Linked DNA regions of Drosophila melanogaster. Changing the gene in region 1 together with any one later gene gives a genetic interaction. Each region holds a gene or a part of one and is shown in the gene's direction. Other genes may lie near its edges.

The links. Genes that interact genetically often act in the same process or in processes that back each other up.
Region 2: of stwl (region 1) and hng1, changing one enhances a phenotype caused by changing the other (phenotypic enhancement), as found in Drosophila melanogaster (one study listed by BioGRID).
Region 3: of stwl (region 1) and skl, changing one suppresses a phenotype caused by changing the other (phenotypic suppression), as found in Drosophila melanogaster (one study listed by BioGRID).

The regions. Positions count from the first base shown.
Region 1 is NT_037436.4:14,401,995-14,411,659, reverse strand, and holds stwl (stonewall), read left to right. Parts: upstream 1-1,720; 5' UTR 1,721-1,897; coding exon 1,898-2,045; intron 2,046-2,813; exon of another isoform or gene 2,814-2,880; coding exon of another isoform or gene 2,881-2,914; intron 2,915-4,822; coding exon 4,823-7,788; 3' UTR 7,789-8,730; downstream 8,731-9,665. Other genes in the region: CG3919 (uncharacterized protein), read right to left, coding at 1-160, 388-565; CG3868 (uncharacterized protein), read left to right, coding at 8,962-9,091, 9,572-9,665.
Region 2 is NT_033778.4:21,165,739-21,171,183, forward strand, and holds hng1 (hinge1), read left to right. Parts: upstream 1-3,191; 5' UTR 3,192-3,258; coding exon 3,259-4,206; 3' UTR 4,207-4,272; downstream 4,273-5,445. Other genes in the region: Isha (insulator su(Hw) mRNA adaptor), read right to left, coding at 1-136, 992-1,096, 1,152-1,304, 1,434-1,706, 1,858-2,445, 2,694-2,723; LSm1 (uncharacterized protein), read right to left, coding at 4,327-4,500, 4,563-4,747, 4,802-4,856; Xpd (xeroderma pigmentosum D), read left to right, coding at 5,324-5,328, 5,383-5,445.
Region 3 is NT_037436.4:18,437,388-18,443,172, reverse strand, and holds skl (sickle), read left to right. Parts: upstream 1-3,230; 5' UTR 3,231-3,345; coding exon 3,346-3,672; 3' UTR 3,673-4,612; downstream 4,613-5,785.

The DNA.
Region 1 (9,665 bases):
GACCTACGACCTCTGAGCGGAACGGGCACTCCGGGAGTGATGTGCTTTTGCAGGAACTTCAGCTCGCTGTTAAGATAGTACGTATTCGCACCGTGATGCAACTTTATTGAGCGGGCATAGCTGGAGCGAATGTTGCGCCAACGTTCCTTGCAGCTTTTAACTGAAATGATCAATAGCAGTCAATAAGATTGTAAGATAATATTATATAATATTTATATAATATAAATTGTAAGATTTTATAAGAGATTATATTTTATTTTATATTATGTATCGACATAGTAAAATCGTGCTTATAAAAATATAAACATCTCCTAATGAAATGTAAATTTAATAATTAAAGTAAATTTAGTTAATATGCAATATGTCGAAATATAGATAAAAACCCACCCGAATTTCGCATCTCATTGGATATTTCCTTCCACGCATTTTTCACAGTCGATTTCCGCAAGTAGTTGTCATCGTGACGATCGTAAAGACAAGGATGTAGTTTCACCAAATGACATATTTTGGCATTGATGGCGTAAACGTTCGGTGGTGGAGCTATGGACCGACGGCGTGTATTCATTTCATATATAAAAACTAAATATGCAAATTTAATTAATTAATATAATTAATAGAGTTAAAGTAGAAGACCCGAAATCGAATCTGAAACATGTGTCGCCTGACCGTGCAACAGCTGTTTGCCGCTACTTTGCTTCTCTGCTCCGCTTTCAACAACAGTTATTTTCTCTGAAACCAGATCTTTCGTTTAAACTTACGTGAATTAGGTTTAAAAATGCTCCAATTAATCGATGTCAGTGCTTTTATCACGAGTTTTGGCTTATTAAGTTCGGGCTCAAGCCGCTCGTTGCTTCCGTGCACGCGGCAGTTGTTGGCGTGGACGCCGGAGTTGCTGCTATTACAAGTGTTTAGCAACTTTGAACACTGCGATTTCGTGCTGCTGCCAACAAGTGATGCAGTTGTAAATGAATGTTGCAATTTCAAATAGCAATTGTTCTTGATTTTAAAGCACATGAGCACTAGACTGATTCGAATTGGACATTTGAATCTTTAACGGGCGGAGAATATAAAACACCGGCAAAATAAATAAAGAAAGGAGCCACAACAAACGGAAAGCCAGAGGCGTAGTCATTCTCTTCGCAAATCAGCGGGGGTTACCATTCGAGCAGCATACAACCCTCTCTGAGAGAGAATTGACATGCCACTGGATCTCACACATACAATGAAAGGCACACTCACTCAAAGTAGACAGCACTGCCAGACTTAATGCAATAGTATAGCAGTTGGTGTTGGCAGTGCCATTTGATCGCTGGAGGTGCTGCCAACGCATTTACCAATTAATTAATGACCACCCCTAAATGTTGTAAATTATAAAAATTATTCAAGAATATTACGATTTTGGTTAAATTAATGTACAAAATAAAATATTTCATATTTGTATTGGCTGTCAAATGAAGTTATTTTATTTTAAGATAAATGCTAACAAATCTTAGAGAAACTGGAAAACAAGGTTGAGCGGTTTTGAGAATTATGAACAACGCGTAAAAAACATTATTTATAAACGTAAAAAAATATTATAGTCTAGCCCGACAGGTAAAAAATAAATTTATCCGGGGCCACCTTGGTCAACCCTCGTCAACGACCGTTCGGCCTGCCAACTCGCTTTTCCCTGCAACGCAAGGCGCCGCTCTCTGCTCACACTCTCACTTGGCTGTGTGTGTGTGCTCAATACTCGCTTTTAGTTTTCGCTGCAGTCGGTCGCCGTTTTTAGTCTCAGCTGCTGCGCGCGTGTGTTGTGATTGTGTGAATTGCGTTTGCGTTTGTAGCATAACACAAAACCGATAAATTCCTGGCGAAGCGAGCTCTCTCGATTGGATTCTTGCAAAGTGAACTAGCGATGAGCGCCGCCTCTGAGGTGAACCTGATGTTGCTGCGGTCAGTGGAGAAGCAGACTGCGCTTTATGATCGTACCGACGAAAACTATAGGAAGCGCCTGCCGAGTGAGAACGCCTGGGACATGGTTGCCTCCGAAGTTGGAGAGTCGGGTGAGTCGTGAGTGCGAGCGGGATAGCAATCGACGTTGCGTAGTTTTCTGCCAGTGCTGCACAGCGTCAACGCGCGCACAACAGTCAGTCGTCCCCGAATTATCGGCCGTCGATAGTTGTGTGCGAGTTGGCAGCGCCATGTATGCCATCACAAAGCAGCTGGCATCGATTAATTCGAATATAACGAGTCTCCTGTTGAATGCGTAGTCGTTTGGGATGAAATTGCTTCTTGCTGTGACATAATTTTTGTAAATAGCTGGAAAGTAATTTATATTAGTTATTTGGCAACTGCAATAATTGCATGGTAAAAACTAAACAAAGTTATTTCGTTTGTTGTTATTATTATTTTTTTAATTTAACATTTTATAATTTATAATTCTCCAACAAGCTTGTTATTTCATATTAAAAAAATGTCTTATTTGAATATTACATTATTTTAGAAGGATTTAAAAATAAATAAATTAAATACAGAAAAACCAAAATATGACAAATAATAATATCTAGTCTATTCAGTAGCCAAATCCATTTCATTTAATTCTTATTAGCTTTATAAATTTTTTTTAAATGATTTGAATCCTTCTGCACGTTTTGGTAACACTGGTAACACTAATCGCCCATTAGCTGAGTAAAATTTAACCTTAGAAAATTGGTATATTGTATTATATTGGTATATTATGAGTGGGTAGTTCCATTTATCCATGCATCTCTGATTTTGTTGTCGGTGTATATCGATTGACCCATATATATTTCCCTGGAAAGATCTTTTGGCCAAACTTTTCGAGCAGTACAATATAAGTTGGCTCTTTTTCATTTGAGAACTGAAAAAATATTGCCAATGATGGGGGACTTCTTATTCGAGAATTCTTGCTGTAAGTTTTATTTATATATCGCAAAAGAAAGAAAAATCCTTTTTAGTGTACATATGTACATACACACGTGCATGTACATATTTAAGTATGATTCTCAATTTGATTGCGATTATTTCCACGTGGTTTCTGACACCTTTTACTAAACTTTACACGATTCCTTAACACAACTATTTTTTAAGTAATGTGTTTGGATATCAGATAAAGGGTGTTTCAGCAATGTCTACAGGTTTTGTTAACTAACAAATTAAAACGTATCTTAGAAGTTTGGGCGTCGGAAACCTGCACGCCTTATAAATATGTATGATATGTACATCCATGTACGTTCCCATGTATGTATGTCGGAAATCTGCATATATATATATTTATATAAATATATATGGTCATGTATGGTCATGCAGATAAATGGACGCTTCTAATTTGTATACCCCTTACTCGTAGATTTAAAGGGTATACGTTGGAAGGGATTCGTTGCAAAGTATGTATGCAACTGGTATGAAGGTCGATCTCAGGAACTATAGAAACAAAAAGGTTCAAATTAAACATATAGATTAAAGGGACTTAGACGCAGCGAAAGTTTGTTTTTTCATAATTTTTAATTAGTTTTGTAAATTTATATTGACTTTTTGAACAGTTTTTTTAAAATTTTCTCATTTGACTCCCCAATATCTATCTATATGCCATATCTATATGCATTATAAAGCTTCCCACTTCCATTATTCATTCTCTTATTATTTGTTTTTGTGGTGATTTATTGCACTGTAAATTAATTTTTTGCAAAAATGCTTTGTCTTAAAAATATAAAGTAATTTCCTACAATTTTTCTTGTATATGTTATAGCTGATATTATTTTATCACTTTAAAAAATTGTTATGTTTGGCTAGAAAAAAGCTTATTTTTTATGACCCGATTTTTATTTGAACTATCCTTATGCAAGGACAAGAATTGAAATGGCACCGAACACAAAATTTCATGTGTCAGTTTTGTCAGATTTTGGCCGCGGTAATTGAAAATAACCTTCCGCAGCGTAGTTAGTTACATACTGTTACAAACCATATTAATCGGCGAGTATAAAGGCAGATAACTAAGAAGCAGTTTTGGCACGTAGAAGCTAAGAATTTCTTGTCTATTACTCCAAATCAATTTTGCCACTTCCTCCAATGGAAAGAGCCATACGAATTTGATCAATTAAAAAATAATATGGAAATATCTAATACCGAAGACCATATTTAGACCATTAAGACCATTAATTAGCTAATCATTTTCCGACTGTTGGTATTGAAAATATAGTTTTTCGATTTTAATAAATGTAATCCAAAATTTATATATATTTCCAAGATCTAGTGTATTCTTATTAAAAACAAGTAATGTGCCATCCGGGTTGTAGGACCCGTGATTCAGGGTTCGCGGTGCGTACTGGATGCCCCGATTTTGTGACTAGCAGTTACACACTGCAGTGCTTTTATTTTTATTTTTAAAAATTTACATACATGTATAGCTTAATTATTAAATACTGCTACCTTCAGGCAGCTAAAAAATTATATATAAACTGCAGTGCATGTACTCGCCACCGAATACTCATTTATACTCATTTAGATATTCATACATAGCATACTTTCAAGCGAAACTTGCATTTACGGAACCATGTACAATGTTGGTTTTTTGAAATTAAAAATAATTTAACTAGTGTCTCTTCCCATTATTAATAAGCATTCCTGAGCTCTTATTACCTGTTCATGTAAAATGCACACAAAGTTTTATGAGCTAAGATTAAAGTGGAATTTTCCGGGCAATCAGGGGGTGTTATGCTATTGAGAAGTAAAGGTTGGGCCGCTACCTGTTGCCTGATATATATTACGTATCATATCTTCTTACCTAGCCTTATCATTTCCCTCTTGTTCCCTCTTGCAGTGGAAAAATGCAAGCGACGCTGGCGTCAGCTGCGAAATGACTATACCCGCTGGTGCAACGCCGACGCCAACCGGCGACGAAATGGCCAGCGTCGTTTGGCTTATCCGCTGGCCGATGAGCTGCGCTTTTTGGACCGCCATCTAAACATAGCTGACGACATGGCTGCCGACGATGACCGCAGCGTATCATCGGACAAGGACAGGGATAACAATAGAGACAGCGAGGGCGTGGATCATCATGCTCAGGCGTCATTAAAAGAACGCGCATCATCGACAAGCAAGTTAGTTAAGGAGGTCAAGCTGGCAAGTCAAGTTCGTAAGGAAAAATCGTCCCAAGACAAGAGAGAAAATTGGGAAAATCCTGGAGATAAACAGCGATCTAGGAAGAAAAGTGCTGAAGAGAAGCTGAATGATTTGGAGGAATCGGACGAACCAGAGAAGGTTCCTGAACTCGATAGTTTTCTGCAGTCTGATAATGAAGACGACGAGTGCATGGACGAGGAGCACCTAGAAGATCTGGAAGGTTTCGATTTTGACTTGGAACAATCGAATCAGGAAAAGGAGTTAACGCCGGAGAAGTCTCTAGAGAAGAATAACACCGACTCAACTGTTAGCCAGCCGGAGTTCTTTGTCAAGCAAACCAGAGATCCTCGTTTGCTAATTATTGGCAGAAAGAATTCGACGTCTTCGTTTGCTGAATCCAAGGCTTCAAAATCTATTTCCGGGGATCCTCTGGAAACGGCTATGGAAGATAGTGGCGATGAATATGGTAGGGATGGTGAAAAACGCGTCACAGGCAGCGACACTACTTCTCCAACCCGACGTCCACGTCGCGCAGCCCGTGCATCAATAAGTTTCGCTGGCATAAGGGATTTACCGATCCAGAAACCAGGCCAAGCACAACGAATGACGCGATTGCAGCGCAGGAAATCTATGAGTTTAGCGGCTGTACACAGTGTAAGGAGCTCCACATCGCCTGTGAAAATGACTCCAGTCCCCAGGTCTCAGCCGATCAACAAGCCGCCATCCGGGCCAGTCCAGATCACGAAAATCAGTCATCGGGATGACATCTTCCCGAGACCTGCGGTGCCATCTGGAGTTGTGAATATAAATCAAAACCAACTCAAGACTCAACAACAGCAGAAGACGCTGATCTTTCCGACGACCGATGAAGCGATCGCTAACCCGCAGGGATCTGGTCCACCACAAAGGAGGTCCGTGGGTAGGCCGCCCAAGAAGCTACCTATGGTGCAGCGAATAGTTGCGCCGGAAACGCAGACCAAGCCACAGTCGCCCATAAACACCAAAGTCCTGACCATTGGCAAGCCCACCAGCTCCGTCGCGAGTGGTAACATAAATAATATTGCTATCAAAAGCAACGTCGTTACTAGCATAAGCAGCAGCACCGCTACTACTAATACCATTACCAAAGGTACCAGTAACAACAGCATCAAAACTACTGAAAACGTTAATGTAATAAGCTACAGTCCGAATTCATCTAGCACCAGCAGCAGCAGCAAGGCCACCACTGGTGCCTCTGGTGCGGTGATAACTAATATACCCACAACCACCACAGCTGGAACATCCGTTCCGGTCGGAAAGAGTATAACCCAATTGAAAATGACTGAGCGAGGCACTCAAACCGGAGTCCAGAATCCTTTCTCCGATAATTACTTTCTCGAAATGATCAAGCCCCAGATGCAGGAAATGAACCCCCGTCAGAAGATGCACTTTAAGAAGAAAGTATTCCAAGCGCTGATGGAAACCTTTGATGATGCTACCGATTTCCCAACGTCTAAAGAACTGCAGCATTTTAATATAAACACTCCTTCAGGATTTGAGCACATTACAGATCCGGAACTTCGATTGGTCAGGGAGCTAGTCAGCATGGTGAGCGCGGCTAAGGTTACCCTAATTAGACCGCCAGGAGAAGCTACAGCTATAGCTACAGCTTCCCGCAGTGGAATTGCTCCTGAGGTACAGCGAGGACCCCGAACAAATATGACACGCCAAGTCATTCAGAGGGTATACAAGCCAGGCACTGGACAAGAGATCGCCCCCACCAGCCCGGCGGGTGGACTAGATAAGAGGTTGTTCAGGTTAGCGGCTATGGGTGGTAAACCGAATGGCAACTTGAGTGCCACTCAGGAAATTTTGCGCAAGGATAGTGTTGACAGTAACCATAGTGTGGTCAAGGTGGCCAACCACGCCCCAACAGGCAGTCCCAAAGGAGCTGCTGTAGTGGCTGCTATAAGGCCGCAGGGTTCATTGATCAACAGTTTCTTTGGACAAGGCAATGGACCGACGACGGCCAAGGGAGCTGCCTCCGAGAATATCCGCGCCATGTCCAGGAGGTATTCCGTGTGCGGTAGCAGCAATCCACCCAATGCCCAAAACGCTAGCCAAGGTTCCGCCAATGGCAGCACCATAAACTCCAATGCTAGCGCTATGGAAGCGTCTATGCTTAAGCGGCGATTGATAGCAGCTGGGCATGGAATGGTGCCACCTACCCAACGCCCTCGGTATTCTGCCGTAGGTGCTAGTCAAATGACCACTGCATCGCAAGGCAGCAGTTTACTAGTGAGGAAGTCTGTGGGCTGCGTTCCTGCTTACCAAAAGCAAATCTCACCCACTGGCGGTGCCTCCCTGCTTCAGAAAACTCCGCAGATTGCCAGTGTGCAAGGATCTGCCTTCAATGACTTTGCCCAGCCCAAGCCCGCTGCAACGGCCTCTGTAAACGGCGAAGAAAGTTCGCCTACCTCGGCGCTGAAGCGCAGCTTGGTGGTGGCTAATACCAAAACCTCCTTTCAGGACCTTCTTCAGCAGGCCAGTCAGACGGTGCAGAGAAATAAAATTGAATCCTCGGAGACAGCAGCCACTATTGCTGCGGATGATTTTTCGCTGGACAACCTTAAGCGAGAGCCAGTGGATCCCGCGGAGGATCACAATGACATACTCGGTGTTTAAGACCAGGCCAAAGAAATTTCCGAGTATTGATTAAAGAGTAAAGAATTAAGACAGATTCATTAAATCGTAAATAACACGTTGAAAAATTGTTAAGCTATCTAATGCACTTATAATGTTGCGTTAAACATTTTTTATAGTTCCCTATAATTTTAAGAATTTCGAATTTTTTTTTTTTGGAAAAAGTTTTTAACTTTTTCTATTTTGTTCATAATTTTTTAGACGATAGAAAACCGACAGTTTTGTTCAAAATTTGCACAAGAAAAATGATTAATGAGAAATCGAATCTTAACTTTATTTCACATTTTCTAGTTATATATATCGAATAAAAATTGCCCTTATAAGTTAAACAAAAAGGACAACTGAAAAAATATTTAAATATGTTTTTATGGAAATATATTTCTATACATAGTTAGGTCAAAGTCACTAGAATATTATTCTAATGTCTTTGGTTAGGTAGTGAAATATATTGCAGTACATTTATGCGAAACAACCATCACGAAAATTTGAAAATTAGTTTGGTTGGTGAACCAAACTGGAGGGTGGGTGCTCCAGACGTTGTTCTAGCAGAGACATAAGTAAAATTATGAAAATTAATTAATTCTAATAATTATGACAATATCTTTGGTTCGGGTACCGATTCTGGAGTATTTCCAAAGCTTCAGAGTATTTAGATACTGATCAATAATATTAAATTGTTTTTATCAATACATCAGTGAGTCGGTGGAATTAACAGTTCCAAAGCACACAAACTGATGCAATTACCACTATCAGGATATATACGTGGACCTAACTACGAAGTAACACATCATCGATAACAGAAGATTAGATATGAAAACGCTGACGCAGCTAAGAAAAGCCTAAACATAACAATTCAGTAATAACATAAAACCTTCTTGTATTTATAAATAGAATAAAAAAATAAATTTGCAAATTTGATCAAACGTAATTCCAACGTTATTGAAATACTTCCCGTTTTGGGTGAACCACCGGTAAAGATTTACAAGGTACCAGTACCATTCAATATGCTGTTCTTTTTGCACATTTGGCTGGGAATCTAATCTGGAGAGGTCTACCGCGAATGGGCCGTAAATAAGGGAGTCAGTGCCCAGATAAGGCAGCTATATAACCTCTCTTCAAGTGGCCGCGAGGTTCAGTCGAATTCGAGACATCACCATGAAACTCTTTGCCATTTGTGCCCTCCTCATCCTTCCGCTGGTAAGCGGTGGAATCGTGCCACGCACACCTACTAGGCACTTTGTGGCCTACGAGATCCATTCTACCCATAATCTCCCCCAGATGGAAGGTAAGAGACAGTATTAGTTATACCAGATGGTACAATTCGCTGGATGGATTACGCTTAGCATTTGGATAGAACGACTTGCACAGAAATACATACGCATTTCTTATTAAAAACAAAAACAAGGTGTCTTTGGAAATTTGAAATTTTTAACATATCAAGACTAATCACCAGCTGTCTAGACAAGGTAATCAACTAAATTCGAAAGCTACTCGTAAATCATTATAATCGCTAAAAAGTATAGAAGTATGAACATGTCCGTCTGACCGTCCGTCCGTGTGTCTGACTTATGAATCTCGGACTGAGTTTATTTACTAAAATTTCCCTGCCAACTCTACTCGGTCTTGCCCATTCTATCGAAATGCCACAAAGTGTTTTGAATTCTTCCTGTTTGAGTAAAGGGTATCTGATAGTCGTTCTATCTAGTTGCAAAATGAACAGTAAGTAATCCAATTACAAAAATTATTTTTTGTTGTATCCGCTTAGCCATCGTCCAGAAGATGCAGATCCTATTCCAGAACATGATTCCGGATATGTCCGTGTTGGCCGACGCTGTCGCCGTACCCGACATGTCCGTTCA
Region 2 (5,445 bases), on another chromosome or scaffold:
GATCGTTGCCCGTGCCTCCTCCGGCGCCACGTCCTCGCGGAGATCTCGTCCGGCTGCGACTGTTCCGGCGACTGCGCTTGTAGCGATCACGGTCGGGCGTCGGGCTGCGGGAATCGCCACCATCCAGATTGATCACCTATCGGAGATGGGAGTGTTTGCAAGAAATTTGAGAGTGATACGTGATAAAAATTTTGTTAAGAATAAAAAAAAAAAGTTCAGTGGGATAGAGAGGATTCGGGATTAGTGGCTGGCCACAGGGCGAATACGTTATTATCGACTCAATAAACTGCATTCTTTGGCGTGTGTTGACGTGTGGTTCTGTTTCGCTTTCGACTTTCATTCATCTAGTTATTTCGGACTAATTGGCAATTTGCGTTTTCGAGCAACATTTTTATTTACATATTAGGAACTTACCAAACGTTGTTCTAGCATCGGGTAACGAGTTGTTCCGCCGGATATTATGTGGATTTTAAAACCTTACCTTTGGCTTCATTTGCATATTTTTTAAATATTTTACTATTGGTTCGACTTATTCAAATATTGGCAATTGTTTTATAGTTCAAATATATGTTGGGGACATATAGATCGACTTATGAAACTGATTTAGGGTTTGCCCAAAAGCATCATCTTTTGATTTTAAACATTTTTTTTACAACAAAATAAAATTTAATTTTAAATGGATTGGGAATTGAATTGTTTGCATATTCAAGATATATAGTATTAAAGTTATTGATTAAATAGTGCAAGACCACCCCGTTACAACTAGTTGAATCAATTTGGATTCGAACACGCTAATATCCCATCAGCTATAACAACATATTGAACACATTTCCAGGATTAACTGCACGTCAGCACAAGGCAAATAGTATCACCCGTTTTACATCTAATATGTTTATACTTTAGACCAAAATTAATGGCGAAGTCTTGGTGAAAAGCATACACAAGTCGGACCCCAGGAACTAAGATAGATTGGAAAAGTAGAAGGGTATACCTCTATGGTCTGTTGCTCCGATATGAACTCGACATCCTTGTTAAGGTCCATGCTGTCGTTCATGTTCATGCCCATGCCCATGCCCGGCGGCATACCAGCATTTCCCTGAAAGCAAATCATAATGAAAATATGTACATCGTCATGAAATCATAAGATGTACCTTCATTACGTTCTGGAAATGCTGCTGCAGTGCCTCGTCCTGATAGCGATGCTTCTGGTTCTCCTCCTGCGGCTTCAAATTTTGGAAGTTCTGCAGCGTATGGAGCTGCCGCAGCACATTCGGATTGTTTAGCAGCTGCTTGATCTTCTTCTCCTGAAAGAGTTATTTAAAAGGTTATTCAAAATGGGATCGATCTAATGTGAGCAACAAAAGCAACAAATAGAAACTTAAGATAAACAAAACTATCTAAATGAAGAGATGTGTTAATGGGGTTCGCCATACGTCTAACAGGTTTGAAGAAGTGGGCGGTGAGTCGTCGCCCATACAGTGGTGATCATCTGCCATCAGCATCTGCAGGCCTTCATCTTCTTCCTCGATGATCTCCCGCACCTGGTAGTCAATGTCGTGCGAGCTCTTGACATATTCCCGTTTGTGATGATGCGACTTGCTGGTCTTCGACGAGCACGAGACCACCGACTGTCGTTTGGAATAGTGTTGCTCCGAGTAGTGACGCTTGGAGCTGCTGCTGCCACCGCCGAACTTCTCATGGCCCAGCTAGCGATTGGGCGAAGGGCAAAATGGGCGGTTAGTGGGCAAGACATGAGAGACAGAGAAATGTAAATGCAGCAGAATTGTAGACGATGTTAGTTAAGCCATTATCCAATACTAGACACCTGTAGAAGCCTCAACCGAAAGCATCACTTACCGACAAGTCGGGCATGGCACCGCCCATCTTATCGTCGCCCCCGGAGCTGTTCATGCTTATCTCCATTCCGGAGCTGTTTAGACCGTTCGGACCGCTCGATATGTCCGCCAGGCTAAGAGCACCGCTGCTGCTGGGTCCTGGACCCACGCCGCCGCCCTGTCCTCCACTGCCACCCACCGGAGGCATCTGGTGGTAGATTGGGTGGTTTGGGTCGGCCAGGTCGAAGATCGGCTGAATGACCTCGGACTTGAAGACGTTGTTTTTCTGCCACAGGTTCAGTACCCGGATGATGCGACTCTTGTCCTCCGGAGCGCACCGGAACAAGTTGGCAAAGGTCTCCGTGAGATTACGCTGGAATCGGGGCGCGAACAGATCCTTGTCCATACCGTACTGGTGGCGCGACTGGCGCACTATCGAGTCGATTACATACAGCCCGGGTACTTTGTACTCCGGCTTGCACTTCAAGATGAACTTCTCCACACTCTGGACGACGTGCTTATACAGCTTGATGGCCCGCATCGCCGACTTGGTGATGGCGGCCATCTTCGCTTTGGAAATGGGCGGTCGGCTGTCATAGAGTCCGGAGAGCTAAGGAGAAATATAGATGTTACAGTACGGCTATAGTTTACGGATATCTGGGACATGGAGTTATCGTTATCGGGTGCTGGCCAAAAAGCAACCCTGAGCGGTGCTGTTCGGTGCTCTGCCTGCGCCTCCAGCAGGATCTGTATACCTCCCGCACATTGGACAATCCGAATACCGACTTCAAGCGGACATTGTGCAACCACGCCGGCTGCTCCATAACGAACCTCGTTTCTAATGCATCTATAGCTTACCTCATTGTTGAAGGCAACCACGGTTTCCATGTTCAATTGCTTGGTTCACTCACGGCACGCACACACAATATTTAGTTTTGCATACTTTGGTTGGTCAACACAATCGTTTAAAACTGGCGAAAAACAATTTTCTCGACCTTTCTGCGGTTTCCACGGCTTTTAAAAAAACTTTTTACAAAGCGTGAAAAAAATGGCTGCCCTAAAGCCTGAAGCGTTGCCAGACCTGTAAAGTTGACATTTTCAAGGCATTTCTGGAAATTGTGCTGTTAATGGCAGTGTGACCGTATGTGGTGCATAACGTTTCGGTATTAAAAAATTTTCCAAATATTTATAAAAAATAAAACGAAATAGAATTTTCATTATGGAATCCAAAAGTTTCATATAAAAAAATAATGACAACAAAATAAAAATGACCTTAAATAAATTTAAATGAAATCAAATCTTCTTAAATGTACTACCTTTTAAAAATAATCGCTATCGGCGGTGTCGATCTTTTTAGCATTGTGTCGATGACAATACATCTGGCAACACTGGTCAATATTAAACATATATTAAACAAATTAAAATGAGCTCAAACCACCGTCCTCTGGACGATTCGGATATCCTCCTAATACAAACCATCCGCGAGACGCCGTCGCTGTACGATCCCCAGCTGCCCTCCTTTCGGCTGTCGCAGCGCAAAGAGGAGGACTGGGCAAAAGTGGCGGATTTGCTAAACATCTCCATCTCAGACGCTCGGCGACGGTGGACGTGTCTGCGGGATCGCTATTCGCGGGAGCTTAAGCAGAAGCGCCTGCATCCGTCCGGCGAGTTTGGTCACAATGACTTCTTTCGGAAGATGGACTTCCTGCGGGACTTTGTGCGCAAGAGACGCGAGCGCAGAGGACGCGAACGGGATCGGGAACAAAAGCCAACCGGGTGGATGAAGGTTGATTTACAGCGACGGCGTCGTACCCGCCTGCCTATTGACACAGAGACCTTGATCGAGGAGCAAGGTTCGCACGCCTACGATGAGGGCGAGGAGCAACACGACTACGACGCTAAGCTGGAGTCTCATACCACACAATCGGAGACGTATTCGGTGGTCGTGGAGGCGGACGATGGGCAGGAGCCCGAACAGGAGAGCTTCGATGAGTTCCTGGGGGATGCGGAGTGCGAGCAAAAGGTCAAGGTGGTCACAATTCATCCGGAAATCGCTGCTCCGAATGCGACGTCCGCACCTGAGCCTATTGAGTCTAACCACGCGGATCTGAACTACTTGGTCTGTATGCCGCCCAATGCGAATCAGGAGCGAGAGCATTCCGCCCCAGAATTACCCAATCCCACGGCCGTCATCACCCAAAAGACTTGCGAAACAGAGGACGACTTCTTTTGCAAGTCGATTGCCGCGTATTTGCGCCAACTGTCGCGCGTGCACAAGATCAAGGCCAAGGTGGAGATGTACCAGATTCTAGAGAAGTACATACTGCTCGAGGAGTGCGGAAAGGGGTCGGGTGCGGGCGGATCAGGCTAAGCAGGTTGCATGCAATATGTACATAGGTTTTAACATAGTTTTTTAATGCAGTACAAATATACAAAGAGACGAAAATCTTTTGAGCTTAATCTAACTTTGTGCTTAGGAAAAAATGGAGTCTTAGCAGAAGTCCTCGTTGATTATGTTGGCATCTACGGCCAGGCCTCGTTCCTTTAGTGCCTTGGATACTAGGCGGTGTTTCTCCTGCCGCTGCTCCTGTTCCCTACGCTGGGCGTCCAGGATTTCATCGACGGATATCTCTTTGAGTGGCAGTTTCTGCTCCTTTTCACGGTCCTTTTACGCATATTTAAAGGGTGTTAATCAGTCATATTGAAAAAGTATCGAGTAAAGCTTACTATTTCGCCCAGTAGCACCACATTCTCCCCGCGAATGATGAAGACTCCGCGAGGAATGTCGCCGTATTCGTTGCCCACATGTATCCGCTCGATGGTGCGTTGCAGCACCAGGTTGGCGAACTGGTCCACGGACCGCAGGTATCCAATCAGAGTCCGTCCGTCTCTCAAAAGTACCATCAGTTTCTCTGCAATGCGCCGGTTTTCAACGACTGGCCTTCCTTTCATTCGGATTTACTCACTGTCAACCTCTTCCAGGAGGTGAGCCGTGCCCGCCAGCGGATTTAAGTCGTCCATGCTATGAAAATATGTGGGATTTAGATAAATAAATAAACTGAAGCAACTAAACTTTGGTCTAAATTTTAGTATTTAATATTAATGTAACCCTCGCTGAAGGGTTTAAAAAACCACAATGCTCTAGAAAAAAATACTAAAAATATTACTACACTGTTCAACGAAACTTATAAGATATTGCTTACTGAAATTGATGTTTTTAGTTTTAAAATGCATAGATATTAAATAGTTATTATTAATTTTCAAACAGTTAAAAATAAGATTTCTGCTCTAACATCAAATATTTTTACGCTGTTCACAGAGTTACAAAATAAAAAGAAGTTGACCAAAAAAATATCAAAACTTGTACTCAATCCATGCAAATTTTTCACAGCCCCATCGATAACGATGGTACAAATTCTATACCTCGATAGTACCATCGATAGTTTGCCGGCACAGGGAATTGTGAATTATCCCGGAATAGGCGAATAATGAAGTAAGTGGCAGAACGGGATAAATGAAAGTACTCCTTTAACAACCCAGTCCACAGGCTCAGCGTGGACGGCCTGTTGGTGTACTTTCCGTACGAGTACATCTACCCGGAACAATATGC
Region 3 (5,785 bases), 4.0 Mb from region 1:
TGAATGACTTTATATATTACAGATCTAAAAGTCGTTTAAAAGAGAATTTTATATTCTTTAAAATGGGATTAAAGTCATAAATCATAGTTACTATTTAGCACAGTAACCTGTACCAACATCAAAGAATTGCATCAGCAATCCTATCCTAAACGTATTTGGATCAACTGAAGCATAAATAAGTCCGCATATTCGTTTTCGAATTGAAAAACCAAGGTTTAGACTTGCTTATTGCATTCTACCTCCCATAAAGCCAAAGCAAAACAAACAAATAAACAAATAGAGCTGCCCAGGCAATCAACAATCGAATCTTTAATCCCATTTAGTTTGCGCATCGAACTAAAATTACTTCAATTTATTTTGATGGTCAATATAAAGGAAAAATACGTAAATAGCTGGAAATATAAATATTTTATACGTCATCTGAATGGGAAATCTTTAAAATGCAGGGGAACTTTAAGCTGCCACTTTAGTCACTTTACGAAGGGATATAAAGAGAGAAGAGACGAGAAAGTCGAAGGATGTGGATGCCATTTAATGTCACTTGGGCGCAGCCATCAAGCATAAAGCTCTTGTATCCTTCCACCTCCTTGAAAAATAACAGTTTACACAAGAAAACAAAACAGAACAGAAGCCACCCATAAATGCAGAATGGGGAACCACATGTGAAGTGTCCTGGCTTTGACTTTGACTTGAGGTGCATCCTCCAAAGTGCGCCAAAGTGAAATGCATTTCAGCAACAATTGTTGCCAGCTGTAAATAAACACGACTTGCCATGCCACGCCCCCTCTGACATGGCTGGCAAACAAAAAAAAAACAAAAACAAACACTGCAATGATAATAAGGTATATAATTTAATATCAATCTGACAGCCAAACACACACACAGAAGGCAACAAAGTGCCCCTGTGATGAGAACGATGCAACGTTTTATGCTGCAATTTCTGTTGTATCCGTTCTGGAAAGGTAAATACCCTATAATGGCTGCTACCGATTGGCAATACGTTGGATACAATGCAGAGACTTTGGGAAATTAATCCGAAAATGGAAAAACTGAGACTCACTTCCAGTGAGTACATACACGAATGTGTGTACGTGACCTTGTCATCGAAGTTAAGAATATTTAATGCTTTAACAACATTTTCAATTCAAAATAAATCAAAGAACGAAGAAAATTTAATTTTCAACAACTACATTTAAATTGGATATTATTTCAAAATCAACAAATTCTATCAAATCTTTGATTTGCGATTTTCAAACGATACTTATTTCCATGCCATTTCTTTTTAATTAATACAATATATTGTGTTTGCCAAATATACCATTTGTTTTTATCCATTTACCAATTAGAGCGAACTCTTGATAGTAGCTAAACTGTATTGATAAGGATAATCTAGAGTAAGCATATTAAGGCATTCCTTCATAATTATTATCCTTAAGAATAGGGTATCCTTTCATCACTCTCGTCTTGAAACTCGCTCTTCTGGGTGCTGCTTCCTTGTAATTTTTTCCTGCCGTCTTTTTCGTTGTTCGTGTGCTGCACATGCCCCGCCGCACTTCAGTTTTATACGTATACCTATAGATATGGGTGGTACATACATATATATGCATTGTCTGACTGTCTGGGGTACTCAAATGCCACTCTTTCGATGCGATGCGTTTCTTCCCTTGGATCCCACTTTGCTCCTTTTCACTTTTTTTTTCTATTTTGTTTGCTAACTAAATAAATGCAGTTTGTGTGTGCGCCTGCACTTGTTGTTTGTGTTGAGCCAAGCAGAACATTTCCATTTGAATGTTCTTTTAAGCGAAAACAATTCTTTTCTTTGTTTTGCCTTTGAGAATGTGAGTGAGTTTTGCAGGTACACGAGTATATGTAAGTGATTTGGCGAGCCCCGCTGATTTTGCTCGAGTGTTTAGCAAATTAGATCATGGATTTTTCCTCTGATTTCTCGGGGTTATCATCGCGGGGATATCATTTTTGGTACCCCGCCCACTCACCTGCACGCCCACGAAGGTGATTTTCTTTTGTTATGCATTCTTTCGTAGATTTCTTCGGTTGGGTTTTTATTTTACGTTTTTTATGCAGCAACTATAAAAAAGTTTTTACATTTTTTACGGCACTTATTTCAGCTTTCTCTCTTATTCAGCACTGCTCCAAACCCATTTTATTCTGTGGGTAACAAAAGAAGTTTTTTGACGGCGAGTGCATTATATTTTGGACTTACGGCGAGAAGTTGATTATGTTGATTTGTGGAATTGATTTGTCGGAGGGTAAAAAGGATTCAACAGACACTCCTTTACTCTATAAAAATTCCTGGCATGCGGTTCACAAAATGTTAACCGATTGTTCTTGCGGTCATAGGGAGTTGTAGGATGGTAAATTGATTTTCTTCAAGTACAAGAATAGTCGGGTGAGGAATTTTAAGTCTTGTTTAGTACTTATATAGTACGAATTCTTGCAAAGCTTGGATGTAAATGTTACAATTTTATTGTCATATTTTATAAATGCTTACTAAGTTGGAAAAAATTTTCTATATTTAATTTGTATCAACAATTAAAACTCTTGGCAAAGAAACGCAAAAAAAACAGGAAAAATAAGCCAAACAGGAAATTGGTCAAGGTCACGTCTAAGCCAAGGCAAGAAAAGTGAAGAAAAGGCAAAGCAAAGCAAAATCTCACATCGAATTTTTGTATAAGCCATTCGACTACTTCCCCTTTGCTGTTCGAAAATTCAGAAATTTAAAATTTGCATATGTTAGCTTTAAAAAGAAATATATATCATTCTACCATTTCTTTGTTATAAAATTAGCTTTAATGAAAATAATTTATCTTAGGTACTTCTAGCTCGACTTCCTAAAAATAAATTCTTTCCCCTTAAATTTGTTTTGTTTCATTTTCGAAAACTTTCCTGTCCTGGTTCGAAAAACGTAGGAAAACCACCCCATATAAATTCGAGCTTCAAACGTAACGGCGGGGTAAGTAACGTAATGGTAAAACGTATGTAACATGCCACAAGTGTGACGCTCTCTGCATTTTGTTTGAGGAAACGTTTACTGCACGTGATGAAAGTTGATATTGTCATCACAGAGAGGGCGACAGAGAGAGAGAGAGAAAGAGAGAAAGAGAGAGGTAGGAAAAAAGGGAGGGAAGATGGTAAAGAGAAAGCGGGCACAGAGGGTAGCTAATTCTCCCGCCGTTTCCCGGGTATAAATACGGGCGTCCTGCTGGCTGAGCTCTTCAGTCGTACGACAACTCGCCAAGAGTTCAGATCTGGAAAATCAGGAAATACCTTGCCACACATCGAAGTTAACAAGTGCCATTTTTACGTAACATTTTGAGCGACTCAAATATGGCCATTCCATTTTTCGAAGAAGAGCACGCCCCGAAATCGGAACCCAGTGGCGATCAAGTCGATAGCCCCATGGCTTTCTCCATAGACCCCGGACATGATCAAGTGGACTTTGAAGGACCTCCGTCTGCAGCAGAGGAACTCCCGCCACCAGGAGCAACAAGTGAGCCAGTTGCGCCTCCGAGTGCCGAGGAGCAACTGCTGGCCTGGAAATTCCTGGCCATCACCATGTGCAAGGTCCTGAAGCAATTTTACCAACAGCACAAGTCGTCCGGAAAATCCAGCAAACTAAAGGCCACCGTTCAAATACAACCGCAGGCGCAGTAAAAATTTCGAAAACCAACTTAAGCACCAACTAAGGCTCCTAAAAGCGCAACTTGTGATTACTTTACGTTGGTGAGAACTAGCGCAGCCCGAAAATTTCGAGAGAGAATGAGCGAGACAGTGACAGAGAAATGTGAATCAATTTCCCAAGGAAAACCCTAAAACAAGATTAACTTTTGATACATGTATTTTCTTTGCTGGAAATTAAGCACATAGTTTCTTATCCGTCGGGATACAACAAAATTTTAAAACTTTGGATAAGCGCAAATGTGATAAATAATTTTGCTAAAAAAATTTACAGTCCAAGTATTTGTTTAGTAAACTTATTTAAGTTAGTTTTACTTGTTTAACTGAATAAGTTAGATTCTCGTAGGTGGTCGGCCCAGTGCAAGAATAAGTGAACGAAAAATCCAAACATTCATATATTGGAAAATTGTCTCAAGAGATAAAAGCAAAATTTTGTAAGCAGTCGCTAGTTTTCAAATCGAAACCAACTTAGTTGATAAGTCAAACTATTCTACATGCTATAACTACAAATAGTTACAACTTTTTTACCAACAACTCTCTTGGTGTCTATTTATGGGGAAATTTAAATGATTCAACTTCCTAGGTAGAGTGCTTCTTAAACTTAGCAAATATATATGGAAATATATTTTTTAAAATTGAAACATATTTTTATATTTACTTTGCCGTCGATATATAAGCTGTGTACGTGTCAATCTAGTTTATAGATCTATTCTTATAAGCAATATGTGGCTAAGATTCCATGCGAAATAAATCGATGAAAAGGCGTTCTTCGCGTAACGAGCATAAACATAGTACAAGTTCAAAAGTAGAAATATTTACACACATAAATACTCCAAACTACACATTCTTTTAAGCAATTTAATGTAACTTAAGCTAAGTAAAGCAAATGGCATGAAATAAAAATATTATTGAATGGAAAAATACGCATTTTTAACTAGTGATGGGATGAACAATTCAAAAACGTTTATTTTCAGATTTTGGTCTGTTTGTGGTTTAGCAAAACAAACCCAAAGAATATTACATTTTATCGTCTAGAGTTTAATTCATATATAATTTTTATAACAAATGGAGCCTAACACAGCGAAAAACAAGACAACGAAATGTTAAGTGTAAATGTAAAATCATTTACAGTGAAATGTATAGTACTTGCTAATTTACCCAGAACTTTCGCTCCGTTGCTAGTCATAATAGACCTAATCATCGTTGATAATACTTTGCCACCTTGAAATGAGTGCCACTTTTACCCCTCAACCAAACAGATTGAAATGGTTACCGGCGGCAGAGATCAAAGTCGTTTTCTCACACAAACGACACTGAATAATTCCTGAAATTCTCTCATTCCGGTTTTCCGGACTCATACAATCGATGCTAAAAAATGTCGCGTGGCGCCACCCGACTGATTTTAAAATCTGCCTTTGGGCGAGGCTTGAAAAAAAGAGACTACTGAAATCTTTCAACTTTCCATTTTTAATACGCTTTGTATGGCGAATAATACGGGGAAAAGGATGCTGATGCTAAGCCGCTTTTTAATTTTCCAAAATCCAAATAGAAGATTCTTTTAAGCGCCGTCCACCATCAATCAATGAACGGACGGATCCATAATAATATCAATCAAGGCAAGAACTGGCAAAGAACAAATACCATTTGCCAAATAAACTGTTCCCCAGCCCCTGAAGATGATTTTAAAATTTTTTGATATTTTTCTTCCAGGCAGATAAGCAGAAGCCAAAGGATTTCCTTCTTTTTTTTGAAAATGCGCATTATGAGGACGGTTAACTGTCTGAATTCAATCAAATGTCCCCCCGGGAATTTGCACTTTTGTTTGCTCGAGCGTCCACACATGATATCGTATCCTTCATCCTTTGGCAACCCTTTCTCCGGGAGAAAGCGGTGAAAGGCTCAAGTGCATGTGTGTTTTGCGTGCGTCCAGCTGGGATTTCTATGGGGTGGAGTTAGGAATGGTAAAGTGACCCCCGTAAACAAACAGTTTTGGATTTTTTTAACATAAGCAACAGATTTACTTGTGCGTTTTAGAGGGTATGTGGAGGTAAATTAGAAGTAGCTAGATTATATTTGCTCAATTCTGCAA